Linked DNA regions of Notamacropus eugenii. The protein of the gene in region 1 interacts with the protein of each later gene in a biochemical or structural test. Links are inferred from orthologs where the notes say so. Each region holds a gene or a part of one and is shown on either strand. Other genes may lie near its edges. The genes, in order: FLNC and XIRP1.

The links.
Region 2: the proteins of FLNC (region 1) and XIRP1 form a complex in vitro, tested with the Homo sapiens proteins (2 studies listed by BioGRID and IntAct, with this or other methods). The link is inferred for Notamacropus eugenii from reciprocal best matches to the Homo sapiens genes FLNC and XIRP1.

What each region holds. Positions count from the first base shown.
Region 1 is NC_092874.1:121,303,196-121,307,104, forward strand, and holds the start of FLNC (filamin-C), read right to left. Parts: upstream 2,204-3,909; 5' UTR 1,833-2,203; coding exon 1,493-1,832; intron 1-1,492.
Region 2 is NC_092874.1:473,849,471-473,853,379, reverse strand, and holds the start of XIRP1 (xin actin-binding repeat-containing protein 1), read left to right. Parts: upstream 1-1,293; 5' UTR 1,294-1,514; intron 1,515-3,909. UniProt on the Homo sapiens protein: Protects actin filaments from depolymerization. Required for correct cardiac intercalated disk ultrastructure via maintenance of cell-cell adhesion stability, and as a result maintains cardiac organ morphology, conductance and heart beat rhythm.

The DNA.
Region 1 (3,909 bases):
AGTCCTCCATAACTGTACTCTTGTTCAAATCACATCCACAGCTCCCTAGTTCTGCCACTGCCCTTTCCTTCCTCTCTCCCTCCCCTTTCCCTTCCCCCACACAGCCCTGTCCTGATAGAAACCAGGAGAAGGGAATTCTACTTTCTGAGTTCCTCCAAGTTCCGGGCAGATGTTACTGGTTCTCTTCCCCCCCCCCCCCCCCTTCCAGCTGTGCTCCTTTTGCCTCAACCCTCCTCACACACAACTTCAGGCTTTGGTTACACTCAACATTTATACTCCCCCTTCTCTGTATATGAGGACTCCCCCCTTGTTCCCTGCCCTTTGCTTGGGAGGTAGGAAAGAAGAATGGATTTGCTACGAAGACCCTTCTTAGGTAGGTAGAGGAAGGGTAAGGACAAGCAGGGGTTAATGTTTCCTATGCTCCCTCAGTGCCTTTTTAGGTTTCAAAGGCTGGGTCCTACCCCCTTCCCCCCTCCCTGGAAAGGCCCCCAGGGGCTGGGCCCAGCTGCCAGGCACATGCCTAGCATGGGGAGACAAGAGGAGGGAGAAGATGTCATTGCTTCCTTCAGTACCACCAGGCTACCCCAGCCCCCAACACCTCACCTCACTTAAAAGGAACTCTTGGGAGCTACCTCACCATCCCCGTCACTGCCAGCGTGGGGAATGGCTAATATCCTGCCTCCTGGTCTCCTCTCAACCCTACACTTAAAGTTACTGTTTTAGTGACCCCCAAAAAAACTGAAGAGAGGGACAGGTGCTTTTGAGGTGACAATTTCCAGAAGGGGAAACTGAAAAGATCCCATAACTGTTGGACCTGTTAGCAAGGGTCTGGCATGGGAAGACAGAGAGAAAAGGTGATGCAGGTGCAGGAGCCAAGTTGGGGTGTGTCGGGAATGGGAGGGGGAAAGGCAGAGGAAGGGGTGAGGCACATGTTGATGTATCCCTTCCTCGTCTAGTTAAGAGGGTGTGTGTGTGTGTGTGTGTGTGTGTGTGTGTGTGTGTGTGTGTGTGTGTGTGTGTGTGTGTGTGTGTCTGTGTGTCTGTGTGTCTGTGTGTGTCTGTGTCTGTGTGTGTGTCTGTGTGTCTGTGTCTGTGTGTCTGTGTCTGTGTGTCTGAAGGAAAAAGTGCTGCGCCTTTGGGTTGGTGTGGGTAGGGGAGAGCCAGTGATTTTCTCTGCTCTAGTAGCTGAACCCTCCTTCCTCCCCGCTCCCTACTAGGGCTCCCCGACTACTTCGCCCTACCCCAAACCCCACGGCCTCTCCCAATGGCCAGCGGGTTCAAGCCCACCACGGAAGGCTCCTCCCCCAAGCTCTTTCCACCCGCCAATGGAAAGCCCCAAGGTCCCCCCTCTCTCCCTTTCCGCGCGTGGACACCGCCCCGAAGTCTGGCTGGGGGAAAAGCTCTGCCCCTGGGCACAGGCTGCCCAGGACCCTTCTTTCCCCATCCCTTCCCGTCCCGTCCCGTCCCGACCAGCCCCTCCCCGGGCACTGACCGATAGACACGAGCTTGATGTGCTCGCGCTCCAAAAACTCGAGAGCCACGGACACGTTTTCGAGTTTCATCTGGCGAAAGTTGGGCCGCGGGTGGAACTTGCGGTACATGCGCTTCTGGCTGAGCACCTCGAGCAGGGCGATGAGGCGCAGGCCGTCGCTCAGGTCCCGCTGCAGGTCCCCCAGGCGCTTGCCCACGCACTTGAGGTGCTCGTTGCACCAGCGGGTGAAGGTGTTCTGCTGGATCTTCTTCCACGGCGCGTCCTCGGCCAGGTCCTTCTCCGCGGACGGCATCTCCTCCGCGTCCTCGCCCAGGCCTTCGGGGTAGTTACTGTTGTTCATCGCGATCGCCTCGGGGGTCGGGCGAAGGCCAGCGAGCCTGAGTCCGGAGGACGGGGCCGAAGGCGGCTCGGCGGGGCAGGGGCTGAGACCAGCGAGCCTGAGTCGGGAGGACGGGGTCCGGAGCCCGGGGCTGGGCTAGGCGCAGAGTCCGCGGCTGGCTCCGGGGAGCTGTCCTGGGAGCTGCGGACTCTTTCCCGCACTTCGCTAACTTCTGCCTCTGTCTGGAGCTCGGGGGTCCGTCTCCGTGCTCAGCCTCGGGCTTGGGCTCCGACTCTCCCTTCCTTCTCCTCCTCTTCCTCGTCTGCTGAGCCTGGTCTCTCTCTCCGTCTGGGGGGGCGGAGCGGTGCTCTGGAAATGCAGGGCCGGACCGAGGGCGGGGGGTTTAAGAAGACCCTGGGTCGCGGGGGGGCCCCCCTCCCCAGGCTCACGTCAGAGCGCCGGCCTCCCAGGAATGCCGGCCGGCGGGGGGTGAGGGCAGGGGCGGGGAGGGGGGCCGGAGAAGGCCCCGCCTACCCCCTCAGTAGCCTGGAGGATCTGGAGGGACAGGGAACCAGAGAGGGTCTTCCCCAGGTCCCTCCTCCTACTCTCATACCAATCTGATTCCCCCATTCCCAGTCGGAGGAACAAAGGTTTGTCAGTAGGACGCTGCTCCCCAAATCCCCTGCGCCAAGGTCAGAGATGGGGGAGAATAAGGAAGATGGAGAGTACCATAGGGCCTTCTCCTCCCCCCTTCTGCTCCCCTCCCTTTCTCCCCCCCCCATATCTAAGCTGAGTCACAGGTGGGGATGAAGTCTTAGATGGGGGGGAGGGGGAAGGAGAAACAGACATGACTAAGACTTAAGAGACAGATTGGGGAAACTAAGGTCTAATGGAGGGGGTTGGAATTGGGAACAGAAGTCTAATATTGCTGGAGGTCTCTGGACAAGTATAAGTCCAACTATGAATCATCTATGTCAGAGTCCTGTGGGGTAGGAGTATAATATTTGGGTAGGGGAGGAAGAAACAGGATAATAACATGGAAATAGAGGCAATGGCATTATCTGGCCGTGAAGAGAAGGTTTTCCTAAGAACTGCCTTCCTCTATTATTCTGGGATTGAAGTACAGAGGCTTCCTTTTGGGCTAGAATGAGTTTTCCCCTTGGTGATTGGGGCTAGGGTACTTACCCTGCACTCCACCACCACCCCCCTTCCCATTTAGTGTCATCAACCCACTTAGGATCAGCCTCAGAAATGGGTGAGGAAAAAGTTCTGATGCTGGGCCATGAGTCACCTCTCTCCGCTCCCCATCCCCCCAGACCCCAGACCTTGACTCAGATGGTATCTCCAGGGACAAGAGTCAGGACAGACCTTCCCCTCAGTGGCAGGGAACCCCCCCACCCCCATTCATTGTGCCCATCCTTGGCCAGAAAGGAGGACTGTCTGGCCAGCCAGTCAGGGAGATCCCTGTTGGCATAGGCCAAGGGGGAATGTGAGCTGAGGTTGTGCGAAGGCTGGTAGAGATAGGATGGAAGTAGAGGGAAGCCCTGGAGAGAGGAAAGCAATCAGACTGACCCTTCTCAGGGGAGATGGGGGGAGGATGGATGGGGGGAGACTAATACTAGGGAAATCCATGGCTCTTCCAGGAATGGATGTTGGCCCAAATGGTTGACAAATTTAGGGAAACTGAGGAATAGAATAGGTAATGGTCTTCCTTGAGCCCCAGAGAGAAACAGGCATGACTCAATCTAGGTTTGGATTCATCCTTGCTACCCCTCCTTTCTTAACAGTTCTAGAATAGTTAGAATAGGGGATCTGGAGGGAATTAGCTGCACCCCAACCTCTCCATGATAGGCAAATGGGAAGACCTCAAACCAGATAACTCCCTGACTCAGTCAGTGTTGCCATCTTCCAAAATGGTAGAGCTGAGGAGACTTTTGGAATGTTTTAGGGGCCATTGTAGTGAGTGACTCACCAAGTTCTGTGAGGAGGGGGGCTATGGGGCACTTAGCTGGCTCTTTCTCCAAGGTCACAGCTCTCATTAGGGACATTGATGGGAAAGTACTGTTATTTTTTTGGGGGGGGGTGTTATAGCCGTGTT
Region 2 (3,909 bases), about 350 Mb from region 1:
CATGTGTGCACGCATGCATGTGCACACACACAGAACAGAGAATGTCACCAGGCAGACTGCTCTCAAGGTGTAGGCTGTGCAGGCAAATGCACATGGGAGAAAGTCACAGAATCCCAGCAGCTCACAGTTAGCAGGGACTCGAGAAGCAGCATGGGATGGTGGCTAGGAAACTGGACTAGAATCAAGAGGACCTGTGTTCCAATCCTGCCTCTGAGATCTTGAGGAGGCCTATTTCTCTCTCTGGGCCTCGGTTTCCTCATTTTACAAATGAGGAGGTTGAACTCTTCCTCTGAGAACCCCTCAGTGCTTCTGAGGTTCCTCACAGTCAGGATTTTAGGATCCCTCTAGAATACAGCCAAGGAGTGAGTCTCCAGCTTCTGCTCGAATACAGAAAAAGAGAACTCTCCATGGAAAGGAGAACTCATTACCTACCAAAATAGCCCAATTCACTTTGAGGAGGCTTTAAATCTTAGGGATGTTTTGGTAACCTTGACTCTAAATGGGCTCTTTGATCTTGTTTTGCCCCCTGGGGCCAAGCAGAACCAAGCTAATCCCTCCTCCACACAACCACGGTTCACATCCATGAAGACAGCTTATATCCCCTTGAGTCTTCTATAGGGTCCAGCCCAAGCCCCGCCCCCCCCATACCCAATGCCCTCCTGTAAACATTCTCCACTTAGTCACTGTCCTTCCCAGTGCCCACAGTTGCCCTTAGTCCTCCAGAGGTGGGTGGACTATCACCTTCTTATTCCTGGAAGAAACATCCCTCTTCAGGCAGCTCAGGAGGGCATTGCCCAAAGTAAGGAGTGGGCCCTGGGCTGCCCTGGGTGCCCTGGAAGGTTCCACATATTTCCTCTATCTCCCACAGCCTACCATCCTCATTTTCTCAGGGAGACCACACACATAGTGAACATTAAATACGTTTTTCAAATTGTTGTTGGATAGCAGAAATTTGGGCTGGGCCCTGACAGGCAGCTAGGATTTGTCCCAGGGAGGGGTGGAGATGGGTCATGCTGGGCAAAGGAGGTCCCTTCTTATTCATCCCCCTCAAATAGTCTGGGACACTCCTGGTATGTGACTGAGTCCCTTTTTCTAGACCTGAGTCACCAATGGATCAAGTGCTCCCCACAGGCGGGGACAGAGAGCAGGCTTTCTATGAATGAGGCACCTCCCCCCATCCCCTCCCCCCACCCCCAGTGCTTGGGCCCCCAGTCCAGCTCAGGGACCCGTGATTGATTCAGACGGATGGAATAGCAACTTCTACAATCCCTAAAAATAACACGCCAGCTTCATGCTCCCAACATAGCCTGGCTCTACCAGATAAAAGCAGCTGTCAGGCCACATACTGCACAGACCCAGGAGCTGGACAGACGCAGACGGGGACACAGGAGCCAAGACAAGTGAAAGCTGAAAGCGGAGGGACAGATCCACCAGAGTCAGCTTCCTCGGAGACTCCTCCTGAGCCCAGCATCTCTCCAGAAACCCCTGCCCTAGTGGCTTCCAGGGCCCCCCACGTAAGTAGCCATTCTCTCATCTCCTTGGGCAAACCTGGCCAGGGTCTCCTCATCTCCCGGGGGTGGCAGCCATGGCCCTCAGGTTGAGCACCAGTCAGGGCAGGGATGGGGAAAAGGAACAGGGAGGTCAGGAGCTCGCTCTGATCTCCCCTTGCAAGCTTCACTCTCCCCAAGACTCTGAGACTAACATCTAAAGAGCTGGCCACGGGAGGCCAGGATCTGACAGCGGGGGGTGGGAACACGCTAGCCTTGTTCCTCTGGGAGATTTCCATGGTTCCGGGGTGAGAGGCCCAGGGACTAGCCTGACTGCCCTGAGGGACTTGGGATCAAGAGACTCAGCACATAGACAGATTCCAGGCCCTCTGGCTCCCATCAAGTAAGGACTTGGAGAAAGTAACTTGCCTGCATTAGCTGTCTTGTAAATGAAGAAAGAAGAAGCCTGGAAGACTCCCTTACAGCTAAATGCCCCAAATCCCACCTTGGCAGAGTGGGCCCCATTTGGTTCAGAAGTCGCAGATATTAAGGAGGTGTCCTGCAGCCCATGGGGCCTGAGGAACTGTGTGCAAATCCAAAGTCCAGAAACTGGGTTTAGGGTGGCATCCTGAGAAACAGTCTTGGAAGTAGCTGATCCTCAGAGCCCATAAAGACCTGTTGGCTTTAGCCCTGGGTGTGAACACTCAGAGAAGGCAGAAGTGCCAACTAGCTTAAGAGGAAGCAAGAGGACCAAGCCTGGGAGCTGGGGAAGGGAGATGTCAGACACCAAACTGGAGGGAGATAAATCTGGTGTAATCCACTAAAGGAAAACCTCAGAAGATGAATTAAAACAGCCCATCCCATGGAATGCTGAAGGAATGCTGGGCATTGGGTTACCTAGGTCCCTTGCAGTGTCCTGGGCGCTTCATCCACAGCCTCTTCTTCCATAAATGCCCAGTGAGGAAAGGGAGGCCTTTGAACTCTGGCTGGGGCCCCATTCCCTGGTCTCTAGACTGTGGCATGACTGTCCTCTGATCTGGGAAGTGACAAGGTTAGCCTGGGAGGGCCTGTCTCTCTCCCTCCCTGGCCCTGCTGAGCTCAGCTGGGAGCTTGGGAAGAGCAGGCTTTGGGGCGCCCCAGGACCTGCTGAGCCAGCATGGAGGTTGCCCTCCCTGTCTAGGGAGCCCCAGAGGGGCCTGGCTGTCTGCCCCCTAAGGGCAAGACCCCTCCTAGGTTCAGGCCCCTCCCCTGACACACATAGCTCCTCAGCTGTCTGGGGTGAAAAGTCTTTACATTTCTGGCCCCAAGAATAGATCCCTTGGCATCTCCTTTTCCACCCCAAAGGAGGCTTCATACAGGAAAGGGACCTTCCTGAACCTTCCTTCCAGGTGCCCTCAGTCATCTTTGGAGTCAGAGAACCAGGATTCAAACCCTGGTGTACTACTTACTACCCGGGTGACTTTGGGCTAATCATTCCCACTCTTGGTGCCTCATTTTACTCATCCATAAAATAAGGGGGTCAGTGGCCCCCAAGGTCCCTTTTCTGCTCTAGGCTTGGGGCTCCTGGGATCACTCAGATGGCAGATTTCCCCCTCCCCCTGACCCCTATTCCTTGGCTCTCAGCCACCACAGCTTAGATTAAGCTTCCCTGGGCTGTTGTCAGTGCCCAGTGAGTGGGAAAGTCAACAGGGCGGGGGTAAGTCTGGTGCCAGACTGGGCTAGTAGAGGCTCTGGGCAACAGAGCAGTGACTCACCAGATTTGACCAAGGCAGATGGAGATGTGGATAGATATGCTGGGATGTGGAGGGGGCAGAGGCTGTTTAGCCACTAAAGTAGGGAGGGGCTGGTAAGGAGCCAGTGTAGGATCCAGGGCTTGAGTAGGTGTGGGTGAGTGACCCCTTGGGAGACTGGACACAGGACCTGTGGCCCTGAATTACTTATCTAGGTTGCTAATAAGGCCCAGAAAGGTCAAGCACTTAACCACCTGCCCAGTTCCTCGATTTCCCTAGAATGACAGTTGGGAAGTAATTGGGTGACCCAGTAACCTATCAAGGATGTCTACTTGGGGGCTTGACAAGGGGGCCTCACCATCCCCCATCTGACAACCCACCTCTCTGAAAGTCTGCCTATTGTTTGGGGACTGGAGGCCTCTGAAAAGGGAGGCGGAGGAAGGCCTCAACTCCAGGACTGGTCACTGCCCTAACTCTCCAGGGCAGTTTTCTCCAAGACGGTTCCTGTAGGGCTCATAATCATGGAGGCACCGATGCCAGTCTGATGCAACCAGGCAGCAAGTGACAAACCTCTTGTATTACTGTGGGGTCTTGGGAGTGTTTTCTGGACAAGAAAAGAGAAGACTGGAAACTAAGGTCAGAGTGTATTAAATAGGGGGCAGAAGCTGGGGCTGTGCCCTAGGGTGTCAAAA